Linked DNA regions of Elephas maximus indicus. The protein of the gene in region 2 interacts with the protein of the main gene of each other region in a pairwise test. Links are inferred from orthologs where the notes say so. Each region holds a gene or a part of one and is shown on either strand. Other genes may lie near its edges. The genes, in order: FAM133A, CEP70, RBM10 and KAT7.

What was found.
Region 1: the proteins of CEP70 (region 2) and FAM133A interact in binary tests that used the Homo sapiens proteins (3 or more experiments, as listed by UniProt). The two-hybrid records come from large-scale screens. The link is inferred for Elephas maximus indicus from reciprocal best matches to the Homo sapiens genes CEP70 and FAM133A.
Region 3: the proteins of CEP70 (region 2) and RBM10 interact in binary tests that used the Homo sapiens proteins (3 or more experiments, as listed by UniProt). The two-hybrid records come from large-scale screens. The link is inferred for Elephas maximus indicus from reciprocal best matches to the Homo sapiens genes CEP70 and RBM10.
Region 4: the proteins of CEP70 (region 2) and KAT7 interact in a two-hybrid assay, tested with the Homo sapiens proteins (2 studies listed by BioGRID and IntAct). The two-hybrid records come from large-scale screens. The link is inferred for Elephas maximus indicus from reciprocal best matches to the Homo sapiens genes CEP70 and KAT7.

The regions. Positions count from the first base shown.
Region 1 is NC_064846.1:66,543,383-66,550,907, forward strand, and holds the start of FAM133A (protein FAM133A), read right to left. Parts: upstream 3,018-7,525; 5' UTR 2,999-3,017; intron 1-2,998. Other genes in the region: NAP1L3 (nucleosome assembly protein 1-like 3), read left to right, coding at 4,491-5,909.
Region 2 is NC_064844.1:38,735,657-38,743,376, reverse strand, and holds the start of CEP70 (centrosomal protein of 70 kDa), read right to left. Parts: upstream 3,006-7,720; 5' UTR 2,920-3,005; intron 2,819-2,919; exon of another isoform or gene 2,578-2,818; intron 1-2,577.
Region 3 is NC_064846.1:124,663,596-124,671,095, forward strand, and holds the start of RBM10 (RNA-binding protein 10), read right to left. Parts: upstream 3,001-7,500; 5' UTR 2,693-3,000; coding exon 2,623-2,692; intron 815-2,622; coding exon 670-814; intron 1-669. Other genes in the region: NDUFB11 (NADH dehydrogenase [ubiquinone] 1 beta subcomplex subunit 11, mitochondrial), read left to right, coding at 3,463-3,669, 5,801-5,931, 6,107-6,233. UniProt on the Homo sapiens protein: Binds to ssRNA containing the consensus sequence 5'-AGGUAA-3'. May be involved in post-transcriptional processing, most probably in mRNA splicing. Binds to RNA homopolymers, with a preference for poly(G) and poly(U) and little for poly(A).
Region 4 is NC_064837.1:43,821,626-43,829,382, forward strand, and holds the start of KAT7 (histone acetyltransferase KAT7), read right to left. Parts: upstream 3,011-7,757; 5' UTR 2,841-3,010; coding exon 2,826-2,840; intron 416-2,825; coding exon 268-415; intron 1-267. UniProt on the Homo sapiens protein: Catalytic subunit of histone acetyltransferase HBO1 complexes, which specifically mediate acetylation of histone H3 at 'Lys-14' (H3K14ac), thereby regulating various processes, such as gene transcription, protein ubiquitination, immune regulation, stem cell pluripotent and self-renewal maintenance and embryonic development.

The DNA.
Region 1 (7,525 bases), on a different chromosome or scaffold from region 2:
TGTTATCTTTATATGTTTGTTTTATTTTTTTTTCTTCTTCCTGTCCTATTCCAAACTTTTCTAGTGTGAATGATAAAGTATTGTTCCTTGAAAATCATCCAAAAAAAAAAAAAACTCCAAGTAGATAACTTTAGAATGAAAGCTGTAGTTTAGTCACATTTGTCCAAGATTATCTAGTCAATTGGGATAAATTTTTAAGAAAAAAAAAATTGTCACTGTGACAGAGAGACCATTTTAGGGGGGCTACATTTCCTCAAATGTGTCAAAACAGAGATATTTTCTTGTAGTCATACTTGCCTTAAATCAAGGCCAAAATTATTTTGCTATTAGGATAGGATTTGGCCACCAATTAATTTCTTTTCTAATCCTGTAGAAAAACAAGCAAAGGGCATGGATAGACAATTCTCAAATAGACAATAAACACAGGAAAAGGCTTTTAATCTTACCACTAAGTTTTTGGGTAATGTAAGAATACAAATAAATAATAATGTGAAATTAATTTGGAGATGTTCATAAAAAAATGTGAATAGTAGTGATTACCTCATAGTATATTTTGGGCTACTTTTAATTTCTTCTTTGGATTTCAATGTTGTTGTTGTTGTGTGCTGTTAAGTCGATTCCAACTCATATCGACCTAGAGTTTCCAAGGCAGATTGCCACATCTTTCCCCTTGGGAGCAGCTGGTAGGTCTGAACTGCTGACCTTTTGGTTAACAGCTGAGTACTTTAATCACTGTCCCACCAGGGCTCCCTGGATTTCCATGTACTGCTTGATTTTTTTTTCAATAAGCCCATATCATATTCATAAAATACAAAATTATTTAAAAGCAAAATAAAATGGCTCATTAATTGTTTGCAGAAAAATTCTGGTCAATGGATCAAAATAGAGAATTCAGAAATAGACTCAAGCAATTTAGTTAATATGATAAAGGTGATATTTCAAATAAGGGGGGACAGAAAGATTATCAAATAAATGGTACTAAAAAAACTGGCTAATAAAAATAAATTTAAAAAAATGGATCACTAGCTTATTGCTTACTCCTAAACACTAATTCCTGATGGTACAAAACATTAAAGTACTATAAAAAAATAACAACACCCATTAACAAGATGCCCATTATTGTTAAAAGATGTTGATCATTTGACATGAAACTATATCCATTAATACATCCATAATTGATTAATAATCCATAATTAAATGAGTAGTTACAAAACATAATACATTGTTGTATACATAAACCAGTAAATGTAAATAGGTAGGTGTTTATATGCACAAAGAAATTTCTGGAAGAATATGTATCAAAATGCTAACAGTGCTTATTGTTCATTGGTCGTTAAGATTTATGTTTTTACACAACTTGACCAAGGTAAATGATGACACTAAGAAGTACAGAAGAATAAGGGACAATTTTGGTAAACGCCACGACGTATACAATTTTGCAACAACAGTAAAAATAACCAAAAAATATGTGTGTGGTTACATAGGTAGATACGTATGCTTATATATGTATAGGTAAGCACATATGAATATATCGGTGCGCATGTATAGGTATTTCTGTAGGCAAATGTATATATACGTTTGTGTGTGCTGCATATATATTCACATATAAAACAAAGCACGTTGGGGACACAGTTATGCATGCTTCCTAGACATAACCAAATACCTCGAGGAACTGAGTTACTGGGTTTGGCGAGTAGAGTCTGAGGTCTTAAAAGCTTGGCAGTGGCCATCTAAGATACAATTACAGTATGGTCTCTATGCATCTGGAGCAAAAAACAAAGAAGAAAACCAAAGACTCAAAGAAGAAACTAGTCTACAGGACTAATAGTCTACACGAGCCACAGCCTCACCTACCTTGGGACCAAGAGAACTAGATGGTGCCAGAAGAACTACCACTAACGACCACTCCCAACCAGGGACACAATAGATGGTCCCATATAGAGTATGAGAAAAATGTAGAACAAGACTCAAATTCCTAAAAAAGACCAGACTTACTGGACCAGTAGAGACTAGAGGAACCCCTGAGACTACCACCCTGGGATACCCTTTAAGTTTGGAACTCAAACCACTCCCAGTGGTGGCCTCTCAGCCAAAAGGCAGAGTGGCTCATAAAATAAATATCACCCGTGAGTACTGTGCTCCTCTAAACAATCATCTAAATGAGACCTAAAAGTCAACATTTACCTTAGACCAAAGATGAGAAGGGAGGGGGGACAGAAAAAGCTAATTAATGAAAACAGAACAACCAGAATGGAAATAGTGAGAATACTGACACATCGTGAAAAGTGTAACCAATATCACTGAATAGGAGCCCTGGTGGCACAGTGGTTCTGTTTGGCTGCTAACCACAAAGAACAACAGTTCAAATCTACCAGCCAGTCCTTGGAAACCCTATGGGGTGGATAGCTATGGGCAGGAATTGACTTGACGGCAATGGGTTTTGAAATAATATGTACAAAAACTGTTAAAGGAAAACCTAATTTGCTATGTAAATTTTCTCCAAAAACACAGTAAAATATATTTTTTAAAGGTTTGTGTTTTTACTATCACTGCAATTTTCTATACTGGATTTTTTTCTTTGTAATGGTCATATGCTTTGAAGATCAGAAATAAACAATAAAAGTTAATTCATTCACAAATTAGAAAATAAAAGCGTCCCCATAACTTCTGAATTATAAAGCACAAATCCTATAACAAAAAATACAAAGGTTAGTATAATTTTAATATTTCTCCTCATTCGAAATGAATAGTTTAGTATATTTTGTATTTTTATTTACTTATATTCTATGCCCACGTTTAGATAGTGAATATGGTTAAGGGTAATTTTCTACACTAGTATGCCAAATCACCACTATTTAATTTAGATTTTTCTGTTGCCATAGAAATATCAAGCCATCTTCCAATTCAGTCTTTAAAAGACTATATGCTCTGAATTTTTATTCAAATACAGATGGGTAATTCTTGTCATTCATAAATATGGGCTAAATATGTTCCTTACCTTTCAATGAAAAGTAAACAGTTCTTTTTAGTTGTACCAAGGGAGCTGTTCTGTAGCAGAAAATAATCCTGTAAATAGAAATAAGAGATACCTGTTTTTAAACTTCAGTTTGCAAGTTTATTCACATATTACTGGATATGTAAATTATAATCTGGCATGGCTAGAACTTTACAATGTTAGAAGAAAACTGGTGGTAGATGACACTGTAAAGTATACCCTGATAGAAGATGCACCTTCATTAGCACAAATCCCCTCTTCCATCCTGCTACTCGTGAAACTGAAACCTGCTGCACACAAGCATAAAGTAAACCTTTTGCTTTTTAGTAGTACTACCTGACATTTGAATACCCCTTTGTTTTATCTCCAAGGTTGTTGCAAGCTTTGAGAAGTGCTACCCGTGGCAAGTCAGCAGCAAGGTTGGGATATTATTACATGCCAGCTTTAACAGAAAAAAAAAATACAGTAAAAACGGTGTAACTGACTCACGGCATCATGGGTGCACAAACCTTGTAGCTGGATATAAACCAGGCTTGCCAAACATCACAACAGCACTTATTAAAACTGCTACGTGGAATGCAATATGCCTGCTATCTAGCCCCTCCCCCCTTTGCCAATAAGCGACTCCCCCCCCTTTTTATCAGTATACAAATACATGCTCATAAAACATTTATAATATAGAAAAACGCAAAGTAAAGAGCTGTTTAAAAAATCATCCACAGTCACGCTACCCAATGATGCCATTTGGAGTATTTTCTTCCAGTCAAAAAAAATTTAAACAGATTTTTGTCAGGAGGCCCGTGAAAAACCAAACGTAATTTCAGGTTGGTTGGATGGAGAGAAGGACACGTCTCTCCCCTTGTTAGGAACTATGGCTGATTGATATTTTTACCCCATGTCTAAGCTTTTTTTTCTGAATTATAAAACTATAAAGACAGCGTTTTGAGGAGGGAAAGAAAAGTCTTGCAAATAATATGTGCCTCAACCACCTAGGAGCGTCTGGGAAGGTGGGCGGAGCCGGGTGGGAAAAACGTTGGGTTTGGTCATTCATTGGGTCTAGAATTTGTCAATCAAGGTTTCCCAGCAAATGAAGTGCGAAATAAAGGCACACCGGGAACGAAATTAACGGGAGATCTGGCTGCAAAGGGAGGGGGCTTGAGATCGGAACCGAGAAGAGATCTTGGGGTCTCATTCTGCGCCATTCGGCTGCGGCACCGCCTCCGTCCACCGCAGCTGCAGCCAGGAGAGGCCTTGCCACCGCCGCTGTCGCCCAGGCCTCCTCCCCTGTCGCTGACACCTCATCGGGGGTCACTGCAGCCCCCGCCCCGCCTACCCGAGCGCTCCTGCTGCTGCCATCGCTGCTGCCACTTCCACAGCTCGGGCCTTCGCCGCTACCGCCGCCGCCGCCCAAGCATCCGTGAGTCATTTTCTACCCATCTCTGGGCGCGCGGTCTCTGCAGTAGTCGCCACCTTAAGAGGTTTGCAGCCTTGCAACATGGCGGACACCTGTTTAAAAAAGGTATCGGAACCTGCCGCCCAGGGGGTTGCTGAAGAGGTGATGGCTAGCTCGTCAAGAGATCCTGGGGAAGAATCTGACAGCAGCAGCACTAGTTGCAGCAGCACTAGTTGCAGCAGCAGCAGTAGCCACAGTCGCTCACATAAGAAGAAGAGGGTACCTGGGCCTTCCAGAAGGGTGCGGGGGGCTCGGTCGGGTAACCATTTCGTGGATAGGCTGCCGCAGGCAGTTAGAAATCGCGTGCAGGCACTCAAAAATATTCAGGATGAATGTGACAAGGTAGACGCCCTGTTCTTAAGGGCAATTCATGATCTTGAAAGAAAATATGCTGAACTCAATAAGCCTCTATGTGATAGGCGATTTCAAATCATCAATGCAGAATATGAACCTACAGAAGAAGAATGTGAATGGAATTCAGACGATGAAGTGTTCAGCAGTGATGAGGAGGTGGAGGATGACACCCCTAGTGAAATGCCTGCCCTAGAGGATGAAGAAGAAGATGAAGACCCTAAAGAAAAGCCTGAGGTAAAGGCTGAAGAAAAAGAAGTTCATAAAGAAATTCCTGAGGCAAAGACTGAAGAAAAAGTAGATTCTAAAGATATTCTGGAGGCAGAGCCTGCTGTCAAAGACGATCCTAATGAAGTCCCCCAGGCAAAGGCAGAAGAAAAAGAACAGCCTAAAGCAACAGAGGCAAAGGCAAGGACTGCAGTAAAAGAGGCTCCTAAAAGAGTTCCTGAGACAAGGCCTAAAGAAAGAATTAATCTTAAAAGAGCTCGTAGGGGAAAGCCTAAAAAAGAAGATCCTAAGGGCATTCCTGACTATTGGTTGACTGTTTTAAAGAATGTTGACAAGCTCGGGCCTATGATTCAGAAGTACGATGAGCCCATTCTGAAGTTCTTGTCAGATGTTAGCCTGAAGTTCTCAAAGCCTGGCCAGCCTATAAGTTACACATTTGAATTTCATTTTCTACCCAATCCCTACTTCAGAAATGAGGTGCTGACAAAGACATACATAATAAGGTCAAAACCAGATCACAGTGATCCCTTTTTCTCTTGGGGATGGGAAATTGAAGATTGCAAAGGCTGTAAGATCAATTGGAGAAGAGGAAAGGATGTTACCGTGAGAACTACCCGCAGACGTACAACTGCTACTGGAGAAGTTGAAATCCAGCCAAGACTGGTTCCCAATGCATCATTCTTCAATTTCTTCAGTCCTCCTGAGATTCCCCAAATCGGAAAGCTGGAACCACAAGAAGATGCTATCCTTGATGAGGACTTTGCAATTGGTCAAATTTTACATGATAATGTCATCCTGAAATCAATCTATTACTATACAGGAGAGGCCAGTGGTAGTTTTGAAGATGGTAAAGATTATGGAAACAGGAAATACCAAAAATAAAAATAAGGCTGTCAGATTGTTCAAGAACCACAAAACTTCAAGAAGAAGTGAAGCAGGTTTATATAGCCTTGGGAAAAAAAAAAACCTGCTCTATATCCTGAACATTAGTATTCCTTACAGTTGTGTTTTCGTATTTTCTTGGTAGTCTATTTAAAAATTGTCCAAAAAAGTGTCTAAGTATTTTGCTTATTCTATTTAGCCTGTTGTAGTTTAATATTCTTCAAAATATATAGACTGCTATCAGTTATCTAGAGCATGTTAGTTTGGTGCTACAGAGTATTGATTTTTGTGAAGTCCTTTTGTCATATTTCTGTTAGATTTCAGCTGTGAAAACTCAGAATTGTTAACTGAGAAATATTTGCTTGGAAAAAAAAGTTCCTGAAGCACCAATGCAAGTGTTTTTTTTTTTTTTTTTTTTTCTTCTGCCTGGAAGACTAAGGGTTTAAGTCTGCTTGTACTACTTGTGTCTTCATTACTTTGCGGTAGAAATACAGTGCTTATACTAAATAGAACAGTGCATTGTAAAACCTGACTGTTTGAAAAAAGATTAGCATACATTTAGGAATGCCCATCAATACCATATATAATATGACTGTGAGCTTGTTTATGTGACATAACGGTCTGCGAATAAATTGAATCATAATGAAATCATTGTTTTCCACTGACTGTTAATATAACATGTTTTTAAAAGTTTCCTCATAGTGTGTAATTGTAAAGTTACTGAACACATTTTCTTTGTAATATGTTCTACTTTGCCTTTCACTGAAAATGATCACTTTACATCATTTGATACTTTTTCATGTTCTTTTATTGCAACCTAAAATAAATAAATGTGAAATAAAGTGTTTCATGTTATAAAAATCTAGCATTTTCTCCTAATTATGAAAATGTGCTGGTTAGCATAGAAAAATTTGGAAAATACTGAGGAAAAGAAAAATAAAAAAAAAAGATGATTATTAACATTCTGATGTATTTCCCACATCTTAGATCTTTTATTGGAGGATATATATTCAAGTAATTGGAGAAGTATTGGACAGGATAGGAGGAAGGTGAGAGTGAGGAGGGGAGGGGTGGAAAAAGAAGAGAGGGAGGGAAGAAGAGAGGGAGTGGAGGACAAGGGGAAGAGGGCAATGGGAGAAGGGAGGGGAAGGCAAAGGTAGCAGGGTGGAGGAGAAGGGAGAAGAAGAGATGGAGGGTGGAGAGAGTGGCAGGGAGGGGAGTGAAAGGGGTGGCAGAGGATGGAACTGGGACATTTGTCATTTTCACTTCCACATATATTTTCCTTCAAGACCTTCCAGTGAAGAACTGCGGCCTGAGGAAGACAGGATTTGAGAGTTTCTGGGTCCTAGTATAGGGTTGCAATGAGTCGGAATCGACTCGACAGCAGTGGGTTTAGTGGGTTTTAGTCATAAATTACCTAATATTCTTCCTAAATCCACCGTACATAGTTCAGTAACTCCCTTTTATCCCATATTAACCACGGTTTGCCCTTTTGTGTCTATAAATGTAATAATATTCCAACCTATGAACATACTGTGACATATCCAACCAATCACTTATGGTTGGATATTCAACTTGTTTATGAGTTACACAAAATCAGGAAGACTAGTGTTGCT
Region 2 (7,720 bases):
GGAGAGATGCAGCAGCAGCCTGGCTAGCAGCAGCAGACTGTGGTCACTGGCAAAGGCTCTGACACACTGCCCTCTGAGGCTGGCCCAGCAGCCAGAATACTTCACCCTGGGCTTGTTTCTAAAGCACTGATGCTGCCTCCTTTAACAATAATCATGTGGGGCTAGTGCTGGAAGGGCACGTGGAAAATTTTAAGTCTGTAGCTATCAGATGTTTGTAACATTTCCCTTTTATTTTGGTCTCCGATCATGCTGTTTAAAAAATGAGTTCAGAAAAATCAATCCATCAACAATTCTCTTTTCAAAAGGAGGTCCTGTGATAACAGACTATCGTGAATAAGAGTGTTTTTGGCTTTTCTCTTAAAATAAGTCTCTAGTGTCTATGGGCAAGTTGGTTGTGGGGCAATGTAGGAGGTTAGAGCAGCATCTATGCACTTCCTGGAAAACTAATATTGGGAAAAGTCAAAAGCAGGATTGGCCTAAATGAGTAAACTTTATACTTGAGTTCAATAATCTCACAATGGCTTTATTGAGACTTTTTTTCTTTCTATAACAGTCCTGTCAAGTAATCAGTGACTACTCCTACCTCAGGTGTCCTGGGCCAAAGGAATAAACCAAAAACCTGTTGCCATCAAGTTGATTCTAACTCATAGCGACCCTATAGGACAGAACAGAACTGCCCCATAGGGTTTCTAAGCCTGTAATTTTTACAGAAGCAGATTGTCACATCTTTCTCCTGCAGAGCTGCTGGTGGATTCACACTGACAACTTTTCAATTAGCAACTGAGTACTTTACCACTGTCCAGGGCTCCTTGCCCAGGGAATAAGATGTAGGTGGAAAATTCAACTCAAACTGGAATATTCCCCCAGTTCCAGGTATCCTAGAAGCTATACCCAAAGAAGAAACAGTGGCACATGACAAGCCAGCTGAGGAATCACAGGTTGCCTTGCCTATTTTGAATGCAGACATCGATGCACCTTGCTGGTGAGCAGAACCTGGCTGTACTCTGGTGTCCCTGGGCAAAGAACTCCTCCAGGCTTCTTGGGCTAGGCCTAGATTTTTCTTCAAGCACAGTACTTTCCTAATAACAGGCCCTGTTAACATGAACCTTTCAAATTCCACAGGCCTGGGCCTACAACTTCTAAAGGGCTTTGGGTCTGCCTACAAAATGGGGGTAAATATAATCTCTGGGCTGTTAGGAGAACTAAAGACAGCGATATCTAAGGCACTTGTCAATAAATTATAACCTATTGGTCTTGTAAGTGATATCCAGATCCTCAGGTTTTCTAAGAAAATGTGATGTTTAATTAAACAGTACCTTTGGGTTTTTCCTTGACCAGGGTTTCCTTGTCCTAGCCCAACAACTCAGGATTGTTTCTCAGAAAAGGAAATTAGGGAGGCATCTTAAACCAGCCTTGTCCCATCTCTTGGAAATTTTCACTCTGGAGCCTTTTACCTTTCTCCCAATCCATTCTTTCAACAGGGAAATACAAATATGAAAAGTCCTTGTTCTCAGGGAACTTTCAATACGGACAGCAAATAAGGAATCGACAGAATAAGCAGAATCCCTGTAACATAATTTGCTTAAGAATTCAGTCATTATTCAGTCATTATTACATTATATACCTGGAATTGGGGGAATATTCCAGTTTGAGTTGAATTTTCCACCTACTTCTTATTCCCTGGGCAAGGAGCCCTGGACAGTGGTAACCTAGACAATAGGTTGATCCCTAATGTCTCTCAACTCTCCGTTCACCCTGCCAACCCCAAAGATGAAACAATCCTCTCCATTAACACCAAGCTGCAAGAAGAAATTACACAATGGGGCCAAGCACAGTATGCTTGTAATCTGCTGGGCTCTCACAACCTTTCCAGAATCCCTTCACATGTCTCTGGTCTATTGCTGGGCCCACTGTCCACAGGGACCACTCACTAATCTCCTCAGATGGCCTGTCAACAACCTTCCTCACTCTCTGCAGGCGACAATGTCTCCTCCTGAAACATTACTCAGGACTGCTTTTCATGCACTTATTCAACAAGTATTTATCAGAGTCTACTTTGAGGTGCTGTGGTGGTGCAGTGGTTAAGAACTTGGCTGCTAACCAAAAGGTTGGCAGTTTGAAACCACCAGCCCCTCTTTGGAAACCCTATGCGGCAGCTGTACTCTGTATTACAGGGTTAAAATCAACTCAAGAGCAACAGGTTTGGTTTTTTTTGGACTGAGTCTGGAGTCCCTGGGTGGGGCAAACCATAAAACTGCTGGGCTACTAACTGAAAGGTTGGAGGTCTGGGTCTACCCATAGATGCCTTGAAAGAAAAACCAGGCAATCTACTTTCAAAAAATCAACCACTGAAAACCCTATGGAGCACAAATCTACCCTGACACACATGGGGTTGCCTGAGTCAGCGTTGACCCCAGGGCACTGGTTTGGTGGGGTTTTTTTCCCCCTATGACTCTGCACTGTGCAGATGTGGGCAGCATAAGAGCGGGAATCAAACAGCCATGGTTCCTAGTGTCCTGGACCTCAGTCTAGGAATAAGTCATACGTTAAGCAAACATTACACAAACCATTACATACCTTGAAAACGACCGAGAAGAATCACAGGTGCTTCAAGTCTTAAAAACTAGAATAGTTTTCTTTAAAAAATGCTATCTGAAGAGTAATCTCAACACAAAATGGAAGTTAACTAAAAGAAGCAGTGTGGAGGAGTATCCCAGGCAGGGGAGGGAGCATTTGCAGAGGCCCTGGGTGAGAAGGAGTTGGAAGCATTTGCCTTTCTAAATGAATCCAAGTAGGCAGGGCCTAGATCATCTATGAGGCCTCCTGCCTACCTTCTGGAGTTTTAGTCTTGAAACTAAAGAAGCAAACCAGAGTCCATAAGGATTTCAAGGAGAGAATGCCAGGATCAGGTCTACCTACCCTAAGACTTCAGAGCAGGCACTGGATCAGATTTTGCCCACCAGATTGTCCCTAGCGTCCAGCCCAGAGCCTGGCACACCGCTGGCTCTCACTAGCATTTGTTGGTTGCATGAGGGGATGCAGTGCAGGACTAGGTAATGTTTCGCGTGCGGATTGAGGACGGTCTGTGCAGAGAACGTGAAATCTCCCGCTGAGGCGGCGGGCGGGGGTTGGATCGGTCGTGCGGTGAGAAGGTGGTGGCCTGCGCCGAGCGCCCCGGGAGACCTGCGCCGAGCACCCCGGGAGACCTGATGCGCGACAAACAGCCGCGCGTTTGGGACTTGCGCCTGCCCAGCTTTCAGTGTCCGCGCCGGCTGCGTCCGGTTCTCGGCGAACGGAGCAAGTTCACGCCGTTCGAGTGGCCGTGTCGGAACCAACCCAGTGCCTAGCGCGGAGCCCCCAAGGGCCTCCGGCATCCACCGCGCACAGGTGAGACCCGCGGCCTGGGCGGGACCGCGGAGGGCCTGGCCCACCCTCCACAGCCCGGGCGCCCCCGCCCGGGACCCTGGAAGCCCCTGTGGGCAGCCCCAGGCGTCCCCGCAACCCGCTGAGCCACGGCAGCGTGGGCGGTGGCAGCCATCTCCTGGCGGCTGAGGCCGCGGGCAATGTCTGTGCGGACCTTGGGACCCTGCGGGGTGAGGCGCGGGCCGCGCGGGGTGTGTTCTGGACGTTTCCCGTCGGCCCGGCGAAGGCCCTGGGCGGCCCTCGGCTTCAGGCTTCCGGCTGGCAGAGGGCGGGTGTGTGGCGTCGGTACCCAGCCAGGCCCGGCGCCTCGGGCTTTTTACTCAGACTGTAGAAATAGTATTTGTTGCCGTCAAAAAAATATAATAGAAAAGCACAAAGAAGAAAGCAAATCAACCGAATCACTGCTCCCCCGAACAACTCCTGTTAACATTTAGGTTTATTTCCTTTCAGTCCATTTTACCCTGTAAGCATGAAAAAAAAAAAAAAAAAAAGGCATGAGCAGGGTTTATTTTGCAGAACCTGGATCTTGTAAGTGCTGTAACTTGGCTTCCTTTGCTTAACGATACATCATGCGTATGTACCCACGGCTATAAATGTTTTTCTACATTCTTTTTATTCGCTGCACAAGGCTATGCGTTCATGTGTGCCAAGTTCACCACCACATCCGTCCCTGGCGCCTGGCATGGGCTGGACTGTAATTTACGTAATAGATTTCCTGATGGTGAACATACAGATGGTTTTCAGTTTTTAGCTATTAGAAAAAGCAGTTCGTTGGGTATCGTTCTGTCTGCATTTTTGAGCATGATTATTTGTGTGGAATGAATCCATGAGTCTTATGGCCATACCTCAAGAAAGTTATTCGTGTATCCATGCCTCTAGTAGCATTTGGGAGTATCTGGTGCAGAGAGCTACTTGACAGACTTTGCTAGAGGACTCAGTGCTTTGCTAAAGGCCAGGCACAGGATGTGAGCAGCACCTGTTTGTTGAATGGGTGACTTGCCTTATGACTGGCCTTAGCTGGAGCTTTTGCTGAAAAGGCAACTCTGAGTTATCTCAGTAATTACTCCTTCTCCTCCTGCTTTAAACAACACTGACTTAGGTTTAGTTTGAACCAATCACTGCAGTCCCCAGTACAATTAACCCCAAGTCAAGGTAGAATTCAGGCTGGGGTAGTTAAATAAACAGTGTTAGGTTGCTAAGGAAGGAATTTTAAAAGATTGTGCTGATGGGTAAATCACTAGATACTAAAAAAAAAAGACTTTCTCTGAAGACATGTAAAAAGTTTCAGGTGATATCTTCCCCATCAGTGAAAATAATGAAATTTGTTTTTTCTCCCTCTTCATTTACATTTTAAAATCTCTGTGCTAAAATAGAGGGATTTTTTTGTATTTATCATTTCCAGTTTTGTCACATAATCCTGAAAATTAAATGTATATATGCCAGTTATATAAGATAGCGACCTTATAGGACAGGGTAGAACTGCCACATAGAGTTTCCAAGGAACGAATGCCTGGCAGGTCCCAGCTGCTGACGGTTTGGTCAGCAGCGGTAGCTTTAAAAAAAAAAAAAAACCGAAAAAAAAAAAAAAACCGAACCCAGTGCCATCGAGTCGATTCCGACTCATAGTGACCCTACAGGACAGAGTAAAGCTGCCCCATAGAGTTTCCAAGGAGCGCCTGGTGGATTTAAACTGCCAACGCTTTGGTTAGCAGCCGTAGCACTTAACCACTATGCCACCAGGGTTTCCAAAGCAGGCATAAGAGAAGAGAGAAGCAGGCATAGCTGCTGAAAATCATACAGAACCATAGAGAATTTTTTAAGCATGTAGTTGGCTTTGGAGTGCTTTCAGGTCATTTAGTAGGCATTTAGTAACTATTTGTGAATAAGTGGATTATGTTTTGCTCAGGATCATATTTTACAGACCATCCAGAGAATCCCTAGTTATGGAGGAAGTAAGCTGTCTTTTTTCTGAGGATACTCTTAAACGAAAAATCAGTAGATGGCCTAAAGTATTTTAAAGCTTGTGTAAGTAAATACCAATTTCTGTGCTTTAGTCTCTGCTGAGATTTTAGAATAATTCTTCATATTCATATTTAATTTTACTTTGTTTCAGACCATTAGCCCAAATCTCAGTGTTTTTTTTTTTTAAGTTCGCTAGAAGATTCACCAGTGGGCATATTTTATGTGTATTGATAAAAGGTCAAAACACAGATGTCAGTCTGTTAATCACTTGCATTTATGGCTATTAAGAGTGTGTTCTGCATGTTCTCCCCTGATTCTGAGCCAGGAGAGCAATTCCAATTAATTTTTAAAAAATTATTTGAAAAATACATGTAACAAAACACTTGTCACTTTAACTAGTTTAAGCATATAATTCGGTGACATTAATTTTGTTCACCATGTTGTACAGTCATCACCACTATCCATTTCTAAATGTTTTTCACCACCCTCCACAGGAACCGAGTACCCCTTAAGCCATAACTCCACACTTACCCTCCTCACAACCCCTCCTTACCAATAATGAACTTTTGTGTTTGTCTACTCTAGATATTTCATACAAGTGGAATCAGACAGATTTGTCCTTTTGTGTCTGACTTATTTCACTCAGCAGAAGTTTTTAAGGTTCATCCATGTTGTATCATCTACTTCATTTCTGTATATATTCCATTGTATGGCTATATCACATTTTGTTTCTTCATCTATTGATGGACACTTCGGTTGTTTCCACCTTTTGGTTATTATGAACACTGGTATACGAGCATCTGTTTCTTTTCCCCCTTACGATTTTTTTGGGTGTATACTTAGGAATGGAGTTGCTGGGTCATATGGTAATTCTGTATTTTACTTTTTTGAGTAACCGCCAAACTTTTCCACAGCAGCTATACCATTTTATATTCCCACTAACGATGAATGAGCGTTCAGTTTCTCCACATCCTCACCAATGCTTGTTATTGTCGTTTTTCTGATAATAGCCATCCTAGTGCCTGTGAAGTGGTATCCCGTTGTGGTTTTGATGAGATTTCCTTAATGACTGATGATGTTGAGCATCTTTTCACATGCTTATTGGCCATTTGAATATATTCTTTGGGGAAATGTCTGTTTAAGTACTTTGCCCATTCTTTAATTGGGTTGTTTGTTCTCTTATTGTTGAGTTGTAGAGTTCTTTATATATTCTGGATATTAAAACCTCATCAGCTACATGGTTACCAAATATTTTCTACCATTCTCTAAGTTGTCTCTACATGTTCTTAATAAAATCCTTTGGTGCCCAAAAGTTTTTAATTTTGATAAAGCTCAATTTATTTTGTCTTTTGTTGCTCATGCTTTCATTGTCATATCTAAGAATTCACAATTAATTTTTCAAGTGCTGAGATTTTTAGAGGGTATAAAAGTAACAGAAATCACAAAACAGTGAAACTTGTGGGATAAGAAAGAAGCCCAAAACAGAAGGCAGAGTTAATTTGGGGCATTTTTTTGCTAAACATTAAACATTATTTGTTATATTTGTTAATGAGAAACACCCTATATGGTGGGATCATGTGAAAAATTTTCTTTACTCCAGATGCATTATTGGAGCCCTCTACAGCCTTGTTAGGGAAGTGGATAGTAAGAGCCTACAGTTGGCTGTCGGGGTGGGAGATTAGCATTTGGAGGTGTGTCTCTTTACTCTTATTTCCCCATAAAGACATAAAGAGGAAGAGAAACTAGACTAGGTGATCTCATAGGGCTCCCCCCGCCATGATGAAAATTGTGCGACTCTTTAATATTTGGTTTGTGGTTGTTATAAGATATTGCTCACTTTGATCCTTACATAAAAAGTGCTTTTATTGGCCAATATCTACCTTTGAAAATTTATAAAATTTGAAAAAAACTTGAAGCATTCCAGCCTTTTATAAGCCAGATATGCCATTAAGTTTTCCAGGAATAATTATTAAATTTTTTTAGTCTTTGACTTAGAGTAATACATAACCTGGACAAGAAAAATTAAAATACTACGAACTTTATATTAAAGCAACTTTTTGTCTTATTTAATTGGGCCTATAGAAAAACAAATAAGCAAAGAGGGTAATATAATTTTTTTTTGTAATTTGCTACATTTGAATTTTATTTTTTCTTTTTTTTATTGTACTTTAGATGAAGATTTACAGAACAAACTAATTTCACATCAAACAGTTAGTACACACATTGTTCTATGACATTGGTTAACAACTTCATAAAATGTCAGCACTCTCCCTTCTCAACCCTGTGTTCCCTATTACCAGTTTTCCTGTTCGCTTCTGCCCTCTAGTCCCTGCCC
Region 3 (7,500 bases), on a different chromosome or scaffold from region 2:
TTTGAGAGAGTTCGTTCTAAGACAAGTATCACCAACCTTGAGTGAGTCTGTTCCAAGACAAGTAGCACCAACCCTAGCCCAACCTGTCCCTGATGTCTCCCACTATCTGCCTCATTTGTCCTGGGCAAATTCCTGACCCTGAAGGCCCCACTCCCACCCACCTCCCAAACCCCAAGTCGCAGTCCAGACCTCTCTCCTGTGCATCCACAGGCACTTACAACCCAACAGCCATCTGATACCAATCTCTGCCTCTCCTCCTGCAGTGGCTGTCCTCACAGTAGTGAATGGCACCACATACCAATCCAGGTCACCCAAGCTGGAAACTCTGGCATCAGCCCCAAGTCCTCCCTTTCTCTTGATCCCTTCCCAACCTCACATCTAATCAGGACATCCATCATGCTGTTCTGTAATCACCCATAAACTGAGCAGTCTTCCTTGTGAGACCCCCAAATAAAGAGAGGGCTGAAACCATATCTGTCTTATTCACCACTGCATTCCCAGAGCCTAGCACAGTTCCTGGCTCAAAACAGGTGCCAAAAACAAAACAAAAAAACAATCATCTATTACTGTTTCCTCTGCCTAGAAGGCCCTTTCTAGCACCTTCATGGATCAATTCCCACCTGGGGACGAGCCTAGGCTGCCTAGTAGGGGTGGGAGCGGATAACTCACCGTCTTTCATACTCCATGTCCTGATAGGGTCTGCGGGGGCTGCTGGGGCCCCTCCTCAGCCGCTGGCTCCGTTTCACTTCCCAGCCACCCCCGCTGCTGCCACCATGATCTGCCAGCCTGGGTGATGCTGCCTCCTGCAGGGACTCTGGGGAGAGCGGAGGGAAGAAAGGGGTCAAGGCAGTTGAGGCAGAGGGGACCTCCTTGAGAAACCCTAGTTTTCAAGGCTCTCTGCTGTCCCTTAGCCCAGATAAGTTGTTTCCCAACTCCTACTGCTCTTGTGGACCAAAGCGAGAACACAGCCCCTTCTTGGCTTGCTCCTTCCTTTCCCCACAAACATAAGGCTAGAGCCCACTGCCCTAGAAACAGCAAGGCCTTCATCAGACAGGGGACATCTTGCAGAGAGACCTGGAACATTCCCAGGGGCTGTAGATTCAAGGGTTGTAAAGGGGTTGTGGTACCACGGCTTTGCGATCTGAGACTGGTAGACAAGCTCAGAGTGCTATCAATGCTGAATGACCAGAGATTAGGTTCATAAGGCACTGAGGCAAGACTTCAAGTCACAGCAATGGGAGTCTTAGGTTCCCATTAGGTACCATTTCATCCCCCCAACAAGATGCTGGCAGACCCCTCCATGGTGGTAGATCCCATGAAAGGCTGCTGGGGGTAGCGAAGGTGCTAACTTGGCAAGAAGACAGCTGCTGACTCCCTGGGCTCCCAGCCAGCTCAGCCCACACAGCAACTGGATCAGCCCTGAGCCTTACACACAGCCAGGTCCCAAGACAGCTCTCTCTCCCCAAGGGCTCTAAGCCCAAGTTTTCTCAGAGGCAAAAGGGGGCCTTTCAGAGGCTGTTCCAAACCACTGTGCTATTCTGCCAGGACAGAGAAATCACTTCACCCAACCCTCACAGTTGCCTTGAAGACTAAGGGAGTCCTGAGAGCCATGTGACCCAGCCAGGGGTCAGGACGTACCCAAATTCTTCAGGCCCCACCCTCTAAACAGGAATTAAGCTAAGCCGGGTGTTAACAGCCCCTGCCCAACACTAGGTTGCCACGACACCTCTCTCCCATGTGTGTACACATACACACAAATTTTCTCTTCCGCCACAAGCCTCAGGGAACCAGTTACCTCTCTCTAGAGGACACCGGTTTTTTTAGATGGATAAGGATTAGAACTACAACCAGGGGCCCCACTGGCTCAGAGCTAGATACAAAAATCTCAAAAGACTCTGGCAAAGAAGCCAGAGTCACACACTAGAATCCACAACGGATAGAGACCAAAGTTACAGATAGGGGCCCCAAATAATTACGGGTCAAAATCACTGATAGGAAGCCGCAATAAATATGGCCATAATCACACACTGCGACCACTTTCAACGACTGAGCGTCAGAGCTACAGATGCAAACCTCCCAAAAGGGGCAATAATCACGCACACATTCCCCGCACCTCCTCCCCACAAAGTGAGTTCGAGCCAATCAGAGAGACAGCCCCCATGGATAAGGACTAGAGTTACAGACACACACCCTAAGGATAAGGACCAGAGTCTACAGACATTACCCCCCCCCCGCCCCCGGCAAGGAATAAGGACCAGAGCCACAGAACACTTCTCCATGGACAAATGAAGCATCAGATTCACAGAGCAAACAGCACACCACTTCCCGTATGGATAAAAACCAAAGTCGCAGACACCCGTCTCCCATTAAGTCCAGCGTCGCAGACACAGTAACCCACTCCCATTTGTCCCTCCCTTCCCCCAACCCGCGTGCACCCATCCCGTCTCCCAATCGCGCACGCGCCTCTGTTCTCAAAAGGAAAAAAAAAAAAAAGAGAAACACCCCCCTCCCTGGCTCAGACAGTGCACGCAATTCCTGGGTTCTGTGCGTACTCCAGGCCCCCTAGCCCATAGCCCGCCCTAGCACCACCCCTACGCCCCCACCCCACCCCCGGCCCCTTACCTCCGCCCCCACGACCAGCGTCGACGCTCACCTTCTCGGTCCGGGCTGTCAAGGGAGGGCTCCCAGACATCACCTCGGCCCGTCGCCACCTCCTCCAACTCTCCCAGCTCAGCCTGAGCCGGTCCACGCAACAACCAAGTCTGAGGCTGGAGGCAGAAGGGACGAGGAAGGGGGAAGGGAGAAGCGCCAGGCGCGCTACCCTCCCCAAAGAAACTCACCGCCGCCTACTCCCAGCCAGCCGCAATCACCAACACAAAATGGCGACGACGAGAAGGGAGCCGGCCCTTAGACCACCATCCACCTACTAAGGGAGCGCGCTCTGGCGGGTCTCGGCTATTGGCCACTGCCCGCTGTCGGCCAGCCCTGGCCTCCTCTGATTGGCAAGTGTATGCCACCTCCCCACTCTCCATGCGAACGCCCGCAAGTCGAGAAGTTGAGTAGCTATTGGCCAATCCAGCAAGGTCTGCTTTTTAGAAGGTTGGTTTCCTTTGAAGATGAAAGGCAAACGGAAGCTCCGTCCCCTTCCCCAAAGGGCAAGGGAAATCTCTGTGAGATTGGCTGGGAACTGTATCCACCCAAATGTCACCGCTTTCTTCCATCAAGGAAATGAGAAGAACTAGCAATAAGAAATTTCTCAGCCTGATCGAGAGGATAAGAGACTGGGTGGTCCCGTAAAGCCACGACAAAGGGAGGGAAAGAGGGTTACTCAGTGCCCAGCCTCATTTGACCTGGGACCTATTTGGTGCGCCGGAGGCGGAGCGAAAATTATCGCGCTAGGGGCAGCTGCAGCTGCGCAAACTCTCATTTCCGTCCCCGCCTCCGAGACGCTGCAGAACAATCATGGTGGTGGGGTTGTTAGGTTTGTGTGCTCGCCGCCTTTTGGCGGCAACGGCGCTACGAGGGCTCCCGACTGTCCGTGTCCGCTGGGAATCCAGCGCCTCCAGGGCTGTGGTTGCTCCACCCGCCATCGCGGGGAAGCGGCCGCGGGAACCGACCATACGCTCGCAGGAGGATCCGGATCTCGAGGACGAAAACCTCTACGAGAAGGTGAGAGGGAGGGGGAACGGGACATCGGGAGGGTCAATCGGGGGCGGAAGGACGGGGCGCAGTTAGAGGACATTATTAGGTGGCTGGATATTGCGCAGTCAACGAAATCGTCTAAGATTTGGGAATTTTGCTTAGTTTGTTTTCTGCCTTTGTCCCCCGGTATCCTCGGTCCAGACCCAGAGGTGAGATTGACCTTATTTTGCAGACAAAAATCAAACCTGAAATGGGTAGCGATCAAAACACAGTATAAGCAATATAGGATTAACAACATTAATGTTAAGAATCTATGTGGCGCTAAACACTTTGTATACATTAGTTCGTTTAATCCTCGAAACAACCTTATTTTGAGGTAATCCCCCCCCCCAAAAAGCCAAACCCACTGCCGTCAAGTTGATTCCGACTCATAGAGACCCTATACGGCAGAGTAGAACTGCCCCATAGAGTTTCCAAGGAGCGCCTGGCGGATTCGAACTGCCGACCTTTTGGCTAGCAGCCGTAGCACTTAACCCCTATGACACCAGGGTTTCCTGTTTTGAGGTAGGCACTATTATACACCTATTCTACAGATGTGAAAACTGAAGCATAGAGATGTTAAGTAGCTTGCCTCTGCTCACATAACTGAGTAAGTGGTGGAACCGGTATTTGAACTTAGATCTGCCAGGTCTACTGTGATGTATTAATAGCAGAGACTCTGAAATCCGGTGGCTTGTGTTAGAATCCAAGCATTGACGGTTACTCACCTGTGTGACCTTGGGCAAATACTTTAACCCCATGTGCTTCAGTTTCTTTGCCTGTAAAATAGAAAAAGTAATAGGACACCTGCCTCTTGAAACTAAATGAGTCAGCTGGCACTTAGTAAGTACTTAGTTAACATTAAAAACCCAGATAACATTACCCATTTAAAAAAAAAAAACACTGCCATGAAGTCGATTCCACACATAGCAACCCAATAGGACAGAGTAGAACTGCCCCATGGGGTCTCCAAGGCTGTAATCTTTATGGATGCAGACTGCTACATCTTTCTACCGCTAGGTGACTGGTAAGTTCAAACCGCTGACCTTTTGACCTTTCAGTTAGCAGTCCAGCTCTTAACCACAGTGCTACCAGGGCTCCTTCAGTTAGCATTAACCAAAACAAGGTAAAAAAACCAAACCCAGTGCCGTTGAGTTGATTCCAACTCATAGCGACCCTATAGGACGGAGTAGAACTTTTTTCCAAGGAGCGCCTGGCAGATTCGAACTGCTGGCCCTTTGGTTAGCAGCCGTAGCACTTAACCACTACGCCACCAGGGTTTATTTTCATCACTTTCCACCTTACTGAGATATTGTGAGGATTATATATGTGAAAAGGCCTGGCCCATAATAGGTACCTCATCAATACTAACCTCTGGTTAAGGGGCGTGGATATGTAGGATGCTTATTCATTTATTCATTCATTATGTAAATATGTATCAAAGCCCTGCTTTATGTCAGGCACAGTTCAAGGCTCTAGGGATACAGCAGTATGGGAATCAGGCAAAGCCCTTGCTCTCATAGACCTTACATGATAGTGGGAAAGACAGAAAATAAACATGTAAAATATCAGAAGATGATAGTATAAAGTAATAATAACATAAGATAATATGATACAGAGGATCTGAGGGTACACTGCTTTGGTAAACAATGAATATAATTTCAAATAATGATGAATGCTAGAAAGAAAGTTAAGCAGGATAAAGGGATGGGGAGTGACTTATAGATAGGTTATTTTATTAGGTTGAACCATAGGAAATTGCCAATATTCAACTGTTTTTTGACCTATAAAATGGCAATTTCCTATGCTTCCTAACTTAATAGACAAGATGACTAGGGAGTGCCTCCTAAAGGACGTGATGGTTGAGCCGAAACCTTGAATGAGGAGGAACCAGCCATGACCAGATCTCAGGGAAAAGTTTCCATGGGAGGTAACAGCAAGTGCAAAGGCCCTGTGGTGGGAAGGAACTTGCCATGTCCTAAGAATAGAAAGAGAGGGATGTGGTGAGGGAGGAGTGATGGATCTGACGTGAGACCAGAAACAAGGTTATGCAGGGCCAGCATGAGACTTTGTGGAATGGCAGGAAGCCCTCATTGATACCTCCTTCTCCTTGCCACAGAACCCAGACTCCCATGGTTATGACAAGGATCCTGTTGTGGACCTCTGGAACATGCGTGTTGTCTTCTTCTTTGGCTTCTCCATCGTCCTAGTCCTTGGCAGCACCTTTGTGGCTTACCTGCCTGACTACAGGTGCATGGGGTGTCCAAGAGAGTGGGATGGGTGAGGGGCAGAGGCAGGGGTGGAGGTTGAAGGGGATTCTGCCCGGAATCCCGTCCTTGCACTGTTGGGGAATGGGGAGCTAAAATGAGGGATAGGTGTCCAGTGAGGCTCCCTCACATCTACCCCCTGCTGCTGCTGCCTCCAGGATGCACGAGTGGGCCCGCAGGGAAGCTGAGAGGCTTGTAAAGTACCGAGAGGCCAATGGCCTCCCCATCATGGAATCCAATTGCTTTGACCCCAGCAAGATCCAGCTGCCAGAGGAAGAGGACTGACTGATTGCCAAGTGGGGCTTACGAAGCACCACCCTCCCACCCACTCCACCTGCCTTCCTGCCCTCTCCTCAGAGCACCTAATTAAAGAGACTGAAAATCGGACTGGCTAGTGTTGCTTTTGTTGTGTGGGGGGTTGGGGTGGGGGTTTCACAAGCCTTAAAAGGCCACTGCAGCCGTTTCTGGGTGTTTTGGTTATCTTTTGGTGTGTAACAAACCACCTTAAAAATTTGTGGCTTAAAACAACAATTTATTATTATCTGTCATGGTCCTGTGGATTGACTGGGCTCAGTTAGGTAGTTCCTCCAAAGACTGTCCTTGGGTAGTTACAGTCAGATGGTGGCTGGGCCTGGAGTCATCTGACAGCTCAACTGCGCTGGGCATCCGAGATGACTTCTTCACTCACCTGTCTGGCACATGAGTCTTCTTCCATGTGGCCGCTCTCTAGCAGAAAATAGCCTGGGCTTTTTACAAGGTGGCTCAGGGCTCCTCTGAATGGGGAAGTAGCACTTAGGAAGAAATTGATGGCAGTCATCTTTAGACACAAGCTACCACACTGGGATTGCCTGTGTTTGAAGAAGGGCCAGGGAGACCTTGGATTGAGGATGGTGGAGCAGAGCAGGGCTTTTTTATTGCTGAGGATGAGTATTTGTTTTTCTCCCTGCCTTCTCTGTCTTCCCTCTTTCAGCCTTTCTTTTGATGAGTCTAGATTTATGATTTATGCACCTTTCTGCTTGGCTGCTAACTGAAAGGTTCGGTGGTTCATGTCCACCCAGAGGTGCCTCAGAAGAAAGGCCTTGCAATCTACTTCCAAAAAAAAAAAAAAAAACAAAAAAAAACCCAGCCGTTGAAGACCCTGTGGAGCACAATTCTACTCTGACATACTTGAGATGACTACAAGTAGGAATTGACTTGATGACAACTGGCTCAGTTTAGTTTGTTTTTGTTTCTTCCGTTCTACCCAAAATCTGAGTGGTCTCTAACTCTGTTTCTCTACCCTGCCTTCTCTCCTTCCCTGTTTTTCTGTGTCTCTCTCTCAAACAGGAAGTCTTTCTTTCCTCCCACTTCACTTTCTTTCTGGGAATAGGCCGTCTCCTTGCATCAGGGGCTTACTGTCTCAGACTCTTTTCTCTCTGGACCTGGCAGATGGAGTAGGAGACTTTTCTCTGGCTCTGGCTGTCTTTGTTTCTTTCCAGGGACTTTCTCCTAGCTCCCTAAGTCTGAACATCTGGGCTCCCTTTCATGCTTCTGGCATTTCTGCCCTTTCTCC
Region 4 (7,757 bases), on a different chromosome or scaffold from region 2:
GTACCACCAAGGCTCCTTAAGACACCCAGAGCTCAAGCATTTTCTAGCTGTTTCAGATGTCCAGGGCATGGCCAATGACACCTTTTAAGAACACTATGCTCCATCTTTTGCATATGACCTGATACTTGTACAGTTATTCTCCTTGTAGTTCACCAGATTCTGTCATCTGCACCAAGCCAAGAGACCAGTTGCCACATTATTAGAAAAATAATGTGCTAACCAGTCAGTCAACTCTGAGGAGTGGTCAGGAAGCATGAAGCCTTTTACCTTGAGAACTCTGGCTCAGCCTGGCTGAGGAGCGGGTGATTCTGGCAGATCGTCGGGAAGTACCATCGCTCTCTGAACTGTCTGTGTGCTCAAGATCTGTAGAAAAATCGGAATCTTCGGTTCCATCTGAACTACTGCCTGCATTCCTCTGTAACACCATAGATCCAGACATTAGTACAGAAGCATTTACTCTGTGGGTCTGTATTAACACTGGAAATAAAATGTACCATGATGCTGAAAACATCAAGTTCAAACCTAAGAAAGGATTCCACAAACAGTTCCCTTCCCAGCCCAGAGCCAATTTCCCTTTATTTAGGACATTTATATGGAACAACCTACAAGTAATGTGCCATTGTTAAGTAAATGAAAACAGACAGGTAACAGTGTAATATCACTAATCCTGAAACAAGTCCCTTTGGAGACCAGTACCACAAACTAGAAATAAAAATACCCAACTGAAAATGGTCTAGCTGACATAACCATGCACCTACAGAAAGCTCAAGGTAGTGAGAAAAATGTTGGTGCTGGGCCCCATTTCAGTTTAGAGTAGCTTTTATTCAAAGTCTCCATTGATAGCTATCACACTTTAAAAAACAATGTAAAACCAAAAAAACAAAATAGCATGGTCCACAGCACTGATCTCAAGAGAACTGAAGCAGAAAGAGAAAAAGATACAAATTCCTTCTATGTCATCTAGCCTTGAAGTTTCTTTGCATGAATATCCAAAGTGCTGAAAAAGGCAGCTGGCAAATGAAGATTAGAAGGTATTCGAACACGGAGGTGATTTATCATCTTTTCAATTAATGATCATTTGTAAATTATTAGCGTCCTCAGGTGTAATTAGCCATAAGGATAACTTTCATCAAATGAGTATTAACACCATACCCTTTATTAAACCAGAAAGAAAAGAATACTTCCTAAAAACAAAAAAAGCTTCAAACTACAAGTCCTGGATCCTTTATTAAAAACTCTGGGGGCCAGCTGTTTCAAATTCATAATTTTATAGATTGTGGGAAAAGAAATACTTTTTTTGCACAGATTTTTGGGAAGGAAAATCTTTTTGCACAGATCCTACAAATACTCTATAAGCAACACATTACTATTTCCACAGCAAACTATACAATCACACTAAATAGATACATAAAAACCATAAATAGCCTCAAGACAGTTTAGGGCAGGCTTTGTCACCAAACAAGTTACTAAAAAACTTGCTCTTTGTATTTGGGAATTGCAAAAAAGGGAACTGTGGACCTATTGCAAGGTACTGATACTATTCCTGCATTTGGTGAGCCTTAACATAAATACCACCTACAGCTCAGATCATTTTAGGAGACATCATAAACTATACACATTTATTTGAAAGCCTCTATAAAAATTCTTGCAAAAACAAGCAAGACTATCACCCAGCTTAAGGGTAATCAGATTGAACTCAGCCCAGAAGTGAACTGAGGCCATGGGAAAGTGTCACAGAGAATCAGTGGGACGAAGGTGGAGTCTTAATCAAGTCCAATTACCCGGATATTTGAGTTCCTGATCATCTCTGACCACTCCTCCCTGGCTTGATCCTGGAACTCTGCCCTTCTCTTTGGCAGCGTACTCCTCCATCTTTCTCCAGAGCAGACTTAACTGCTCCCTCACCTCCTTCCCACGTATTTCTCTAAACAGAGCAAGCACTAGATCCTTTTAGTTATTTATGTCTGTATTCCTTACCAGGGATCATGTCAAATTAATTTTTGAATCTCTAGCAACCAGCATGTAGAAAGCAGTCAATAAACAATTGCTGAATTAGATTTGTCGTGTACTTTTTTTTTCTGGTTCTGCCATTGCGGAGAGCTTTTGCGCACACCACTAGACTTTGTTTACTCAGATGTAAAAAGTGTGTGGGGAGGGGTTTCCTAGACCATCTTTTAAGTCCCTTACACCGAGCAAAGCGAATGATGAAAAATACGTCTTAGACTCAACAAGCTTGAGCGGTATTCCTTGGGAGCACGCCCTGGTTCCCTAAGACCCAGCGCTCAGCTTTGTTGTACCCACCTGGAAAAAAGTCCTCAAAAACCCCGCCTCTACACCAACAGCATCGCCACCCGGAAAGGAGGGGATTCGTGCCACCCAATAGAAATCCTGCTAAACCGCGCCCCCACGGGACAGATTGGCCCGACGCAGCCAATGAAGAGAGGAGGGATCGTTCCCTACAGCCAGTTGCAGCGCGGTAGGGCCGGTCCAGGCACCGCTCCCGCACGCGGGGAGGTGACCGTTGAGCCCTAACAGGCGGTGTCACCAGCCAATCAATATGCTCCCAGACGTTTCAGCGGCCAATTAACGGTAAGAACGCCTCCGATCCAGCCAAGTAGAGGGCGGGAATAGTCACAAGCACAGGCCGAGGCCAGGGTCGGGCCCACATTTTTCTGTCGGGTATGGCCAGAAGAGAGGTCCGCTGAGCTAAGTTCAAGGGAGCAGGAAGCTGGAACCCAACCACTGTGAGGCGTGGCCAACTGCGTCACGTTGCTCAATCAACTGGCCTTAGAAACCCGCCATCCCTCCCCTCCCGTTTCTCTCACCTTCCTTCGTGGCATTGCCGGCGGCTGCGGCCCGATGGTTCCGATTCGGGCAGCGGCGGCGGCAGCAGTAGGAACGGTAGCTCCGGCGGGCTCCGTGGCGGCCTCTGTAGCAGTCCCAATTCTGCGGACGATCCCAAGTGCCTCTTGCCTCACAGCGTCTAGAGTCTTCTGCGCAGGCGCCGCGGGCCGAGGCGCTTTTTCCTTCACTTCCGGCTGGGGTTCGCGTCACCTGACGTTTCGGGCCAAAGAGGGTGCTGGGAGGTGGGCGTGTTGCTCGCCTCTTTTGGTGAGGCTAGTGAGCGCCATTTTGGAGTTGGGCAGAAAGGGGCATAAAAAATAGCTGGTGGAAACTGGGGCCAGCCATTTTTGGTTAGGCTAATGGCGCCGTTTGTAGGCTTGGGTAGCCGTTCTTGTTTGGGCAGAAGCCTAAGAGTAGACGTTAACGGTTTTCATCTTTATCTTGGGCAAAGCTTTCCTTCCCAGTAGTTTTAATTTAATGGCGAAAAGGTAGGAAATCCCCAGAATCCATCAGGTTGTTGAAATTTAACCCCTTCGTTGCCTAATTGGCTAAGGGACGTTTCCGTTTATTATATAAACTCAAAGTTGGGAAGGGATATTTTGATAAAGAACTTTCTGTTTTAAGAGCTGTCCTGTGTGTCAAAGAGGTGGAAATGGGGGATTGTAAAAGGAATGAAAGGGTAGCCTCCATCATCAGGAAGTTTCCTGTCTAGTAAAGGAGACATTGTCCTTCCCCTTGGCGAACTGCAAGTAAGTTTGTCGTTCATGTCGCGGGAGGAGACAAAACCGTTCTCCAGAAGCCGTGGCTCCACAGAATTCCCAATTTAGCTCTGTGGTGAGCGCCCACCTCCTTCCTCCCCTATTTTTGGCTTGGAGAGCGCTGGGTGACCACGAGTGAAAATACGACGTGGATGTGAGGGTGCCGTACAAGAGTCGGAGAAGCATTGAACTGCGACCTCTAGAAATTCAGCTGCCTGAGCCAGGAGTTGGGGTAGGGTGGGAGTGGAAAGAATATTTTGGGGAAGCTGGATCTCAGAACGGCATGAGTATCTTAAATAATAATAATAGGGCCTACTTTGGAGAGGGCTAGGAAGGAGTTAGTCAAGGGTAAAAGGCTAGAGGAAGAGCATATGAAAAGGCTGGAAAGTGGAGAGCAGGCGTTGAAGATTGAATCTCTCTGGAGGAAAACCTTTGAGAGGACCAAGGCTTGGCCAAGAGCGACTGGGTGGAATCTGGGCTAGCTCAGTCATTAAGTTAGAACCCTGGACCCAAGTTTCAACCTGAGGCCGGGAAAGATGGAGATTTCCCCCAGGAGCAGAGCTAAAGAACAAAGCAACGGAAGGTAAACTTCGGATTGATGTGCTAACAGAGGGCTCTAAAGAGTGAGATTTCCAGACACTTAGGCCAGCATTCTCCTTGGGGATGTTGTGGGCTGGTGTTGACACTGGCAGCTTCTAGTATTTAGAATTTTAGTATTTAGCATAAATATTTCTGAATGACCTGCTTAGGTTGAACTGCACATAAGAACTTATTTGAAAGTAGCTCACATTTCTTCTTTGTATCCCCTCAGCACTTAAGCATTCTATTTCACACTACTACTCTGTTATTTTGCACTTAGTGGTGTATTCCTGAGGAGCCCTGGTGGGGCAGTGGTTAAGCGTTCAGCTGCTAACTGAAAAGTGGGCAGTTCAACCCACCCGCCACTCTTCGGGAGAAGAAAGATGTGGCAGTCTGCTTTCATAAAGATTAAAAAAAAAAAAAGCCTTGGAAACCCTATGGGGCAGTTCTTCCCTGTCTTACAGGGTCGCTGTGAGTCAGAATTGACTCGATGGCAATGGTTTTGGTGTGTTCCTGAGGTCACTTTTGGATGTCTGGCTCTCCTACTAGTGGTAAGGACTTCTTGGGTTAAGAACCTATCTCGATTCTAGTACTTAGACCATTCTGTGCCCATAGTAAATGCTTGCTATTCAGAGTATTGTTATAATTTTATAGTCTCTAAGATGTTACACATCTTAACACTCAAAAATGGTGAAGTATTCCCTCCCTGGAAATTTGTATTTTACAATAAGACCTTATCTAACTTAACCATTCATAATACAAATATCAGCATTCCAAATGTTAAACATTAGTTAAGCGCCTGCACTAGATTCTCTTAAAACTGCAGCTGATGCTGAAGAGTTTACAGTTTCATTTAGACATAGTTCTGGTCCGAGAAAACTGTACACTCTGGCAGAAAGATGAAAAAACTAATACCGGTAGGCTAGAAATACATTTCTGAGGGAAAGAATATGTACTTAAGATTTAAGATGAGAGTAGACCAGCTAGGTATGGTAAAAATGGGGGTGGGGAGGATGTTAGAAACTTTTTTCTTTTTCAACCAAATATAACTTTTCCTTCGTGTGTCATTTTTCATCGTGGTGCAGTTAGTGTTCAAAGCAGAAATCGAGGTTGGTTTCAAAGCCTTTGACCAGTTGCCCCCTTGCCCATCCTCATCCACAAGACTTCATGGAGGCACTCTCCACCGTTCTTCCTGCCTTTATAGCTTCACAAAGTCTTTTCTTCCTCCCTGGATGTATCTCCCAACTCTCTTTAAAATTTACTTTCTTCTCAAAGTTTTTCCTGATTTATTCTTCCTAAGGTAGGAGAATATAGTGATATGTGATTTTGTCCTTGCTGCTATTTTTTTAAGGTAGGAGAATATAGTGATATGTGATTTTGTCCTTGCTGCTATAGTTACACTTTTCTTTGTACAATTGGTAGATGTTCTGTTCCTCACTCCCCTTCCTGGCCAGATAATTAGAAACATAACTCCTGTTTATTTTATTTATCAGCCCTTTTACTGTCCAGTTCAGGACTTTGATGTCAGATCTGGATTTGAATCTCATCTCTGCTGCTTTCTATCTGTATTGCTCATGGGTAAGTTTTTTAATTGATCTATGCCTCAGTTTTCTCACCTGGGAAGTGGGGATACTAATGGCCACCCCACAGGGTTGTTGTAAGGAATAGAAGAGATGACTGTTGTAAAGCACTTAGTACATTTCCTAACATAGAATAACTGCTCAACAAATGGCTGTTGTTACTGCTATTTATAATTTCTTTCACCCTAATCATGGTTATACATCTTAATGTTTGTGAATATGTATTTACGTGGTATCTGTTTTATCTGTGTTAGTTATCTAGTGCTGCTATAACAGAAATACCACAAGTGGATGGCTTTAACAAAGAGAAGCATATTCTCTCTCAGTCCAGTAGGCTAGAAGTCTGAATTCAGGGTGTCAGTTCCAGGGGAAGGCTTTCTCTCTCTGTCGGCTCTGGAGGAAGGTCCTTGTCATCAGTCTTCCCTTGGTCTGGGAGCATCTCAGCTCAGGAACCTCAGGTCCAAAGGACTCGCTCTGCTTCTGGCACTGCTTTCTTGGTGGTATGAGGTCCCCATGTCTCTCTGTTTACTTCTCTTTTTTATATCCCAAAAGACATTGGCTTAAGACACTACCTAATCTTGTAGATCTCATCAGTATAATTGCCACTAATCCATCTTATTACACCATGATGATAGGATTTACAACATACAGGAAAATCACATACAATGGTGGACAGTCACACAATACTGAGAATCATGGCCCAGCTAAGTTGACAAATACTTTGGGGGGACACAATTCAATCCAGGACAGTCTCAATGGTTTGTTTTTGTCTGTTCAACCTAAGTTCAGTTCAGCAGACACAGAGTAATTATTCAGGCATTATAAACCAAGCATTGAGTCATAACAAGATGGACAAAACACTGTTTTTCCCCTGAAGGATCTTGGAGTCCAGTAGGGAAGACCTGCCAGTAAGCTCAGAGTTCCAAAACACTGTAGAGTACTACATACGAAAATAGAAGGCTGAGCAAGATTCAGAAGTGGTACAGAGGAGGAAGTGGGCGTTTCATCTGGAAGGCTTAGGAAAGGATTCGTGGAAGTTGTGAAAAGAGTGGAATTTCATAGGACAAATAAGTTTGCCATTGGACATGGAGAATAGGGGCTTTTGAGGTAAAGGGAACAGCATGTGCAAAAGTGCAGACATATGGAGCAGCATGGTATGCAGGGGTGACCAACTCCACATGGTGGAGTTGGGGCAGTTGCCAAAAGAAGAGGTGGGAATGGTTTTGGGAACCAGTTCATGAAGAATCTTGAACGCCTTGCTAAGGAACCTGGACTCTTCTAGAGGTGAGGACCTGTGAAGGATTTTAAACAGAGGAGTCACATGATCAGACTTGCATTTTAGAGATCTCTTCTGGCAGCTGTGAGGGAGACTAATCAGAATGGCAGGAGAGCCATCCTGAGGTGAGTTGGGCTGTCATTTATGTCTGTCCTTGTGTTTTTTCTTACCATATCTATGTCTTTCTCAGTTACATTCGTAAGCTCTCTAAACGCCTCCAGCCACAAAAAAAATAATTGCCACAGAGTTGATTCCAACTTATGGCAACTCCATGTATCAGGGTAGAACTGTAATCCATAGGGTTTTCAATGGCTGAATTTTCCAGGCTTTTCTTTTGAGACGCCTCTGGGTGGACTCGAACTGCCAGCCTTTCAGTTAGCAGCCAAGCACTTAACCACTTGCACCACCCAGGAGCTCTAAATTCCCTTAAAACACTCCCCTTATCGGTAAAAAGACAGGTAAAAACCAGTTGCTGTCACGTTGATTCCAACTCATGGTGACCTCATGTGTTCCAGAGTAGAACTACTCCATAGGGTTTTCATGGCTGTGACTTTTTGGAAGCAGATCTTCCAAGGCACCTCTGGGTAGGTTCGAACCACCAATCTTTCAGTTAGTAGCCCAACACTTAATTGTTTTTGCTACCCAAGGACTCCTAAAAAATGAGGCAACATATTTCAAATACAGAGTATAGTTGATTGTCCCAAAGGCCTAAGAGCTCCT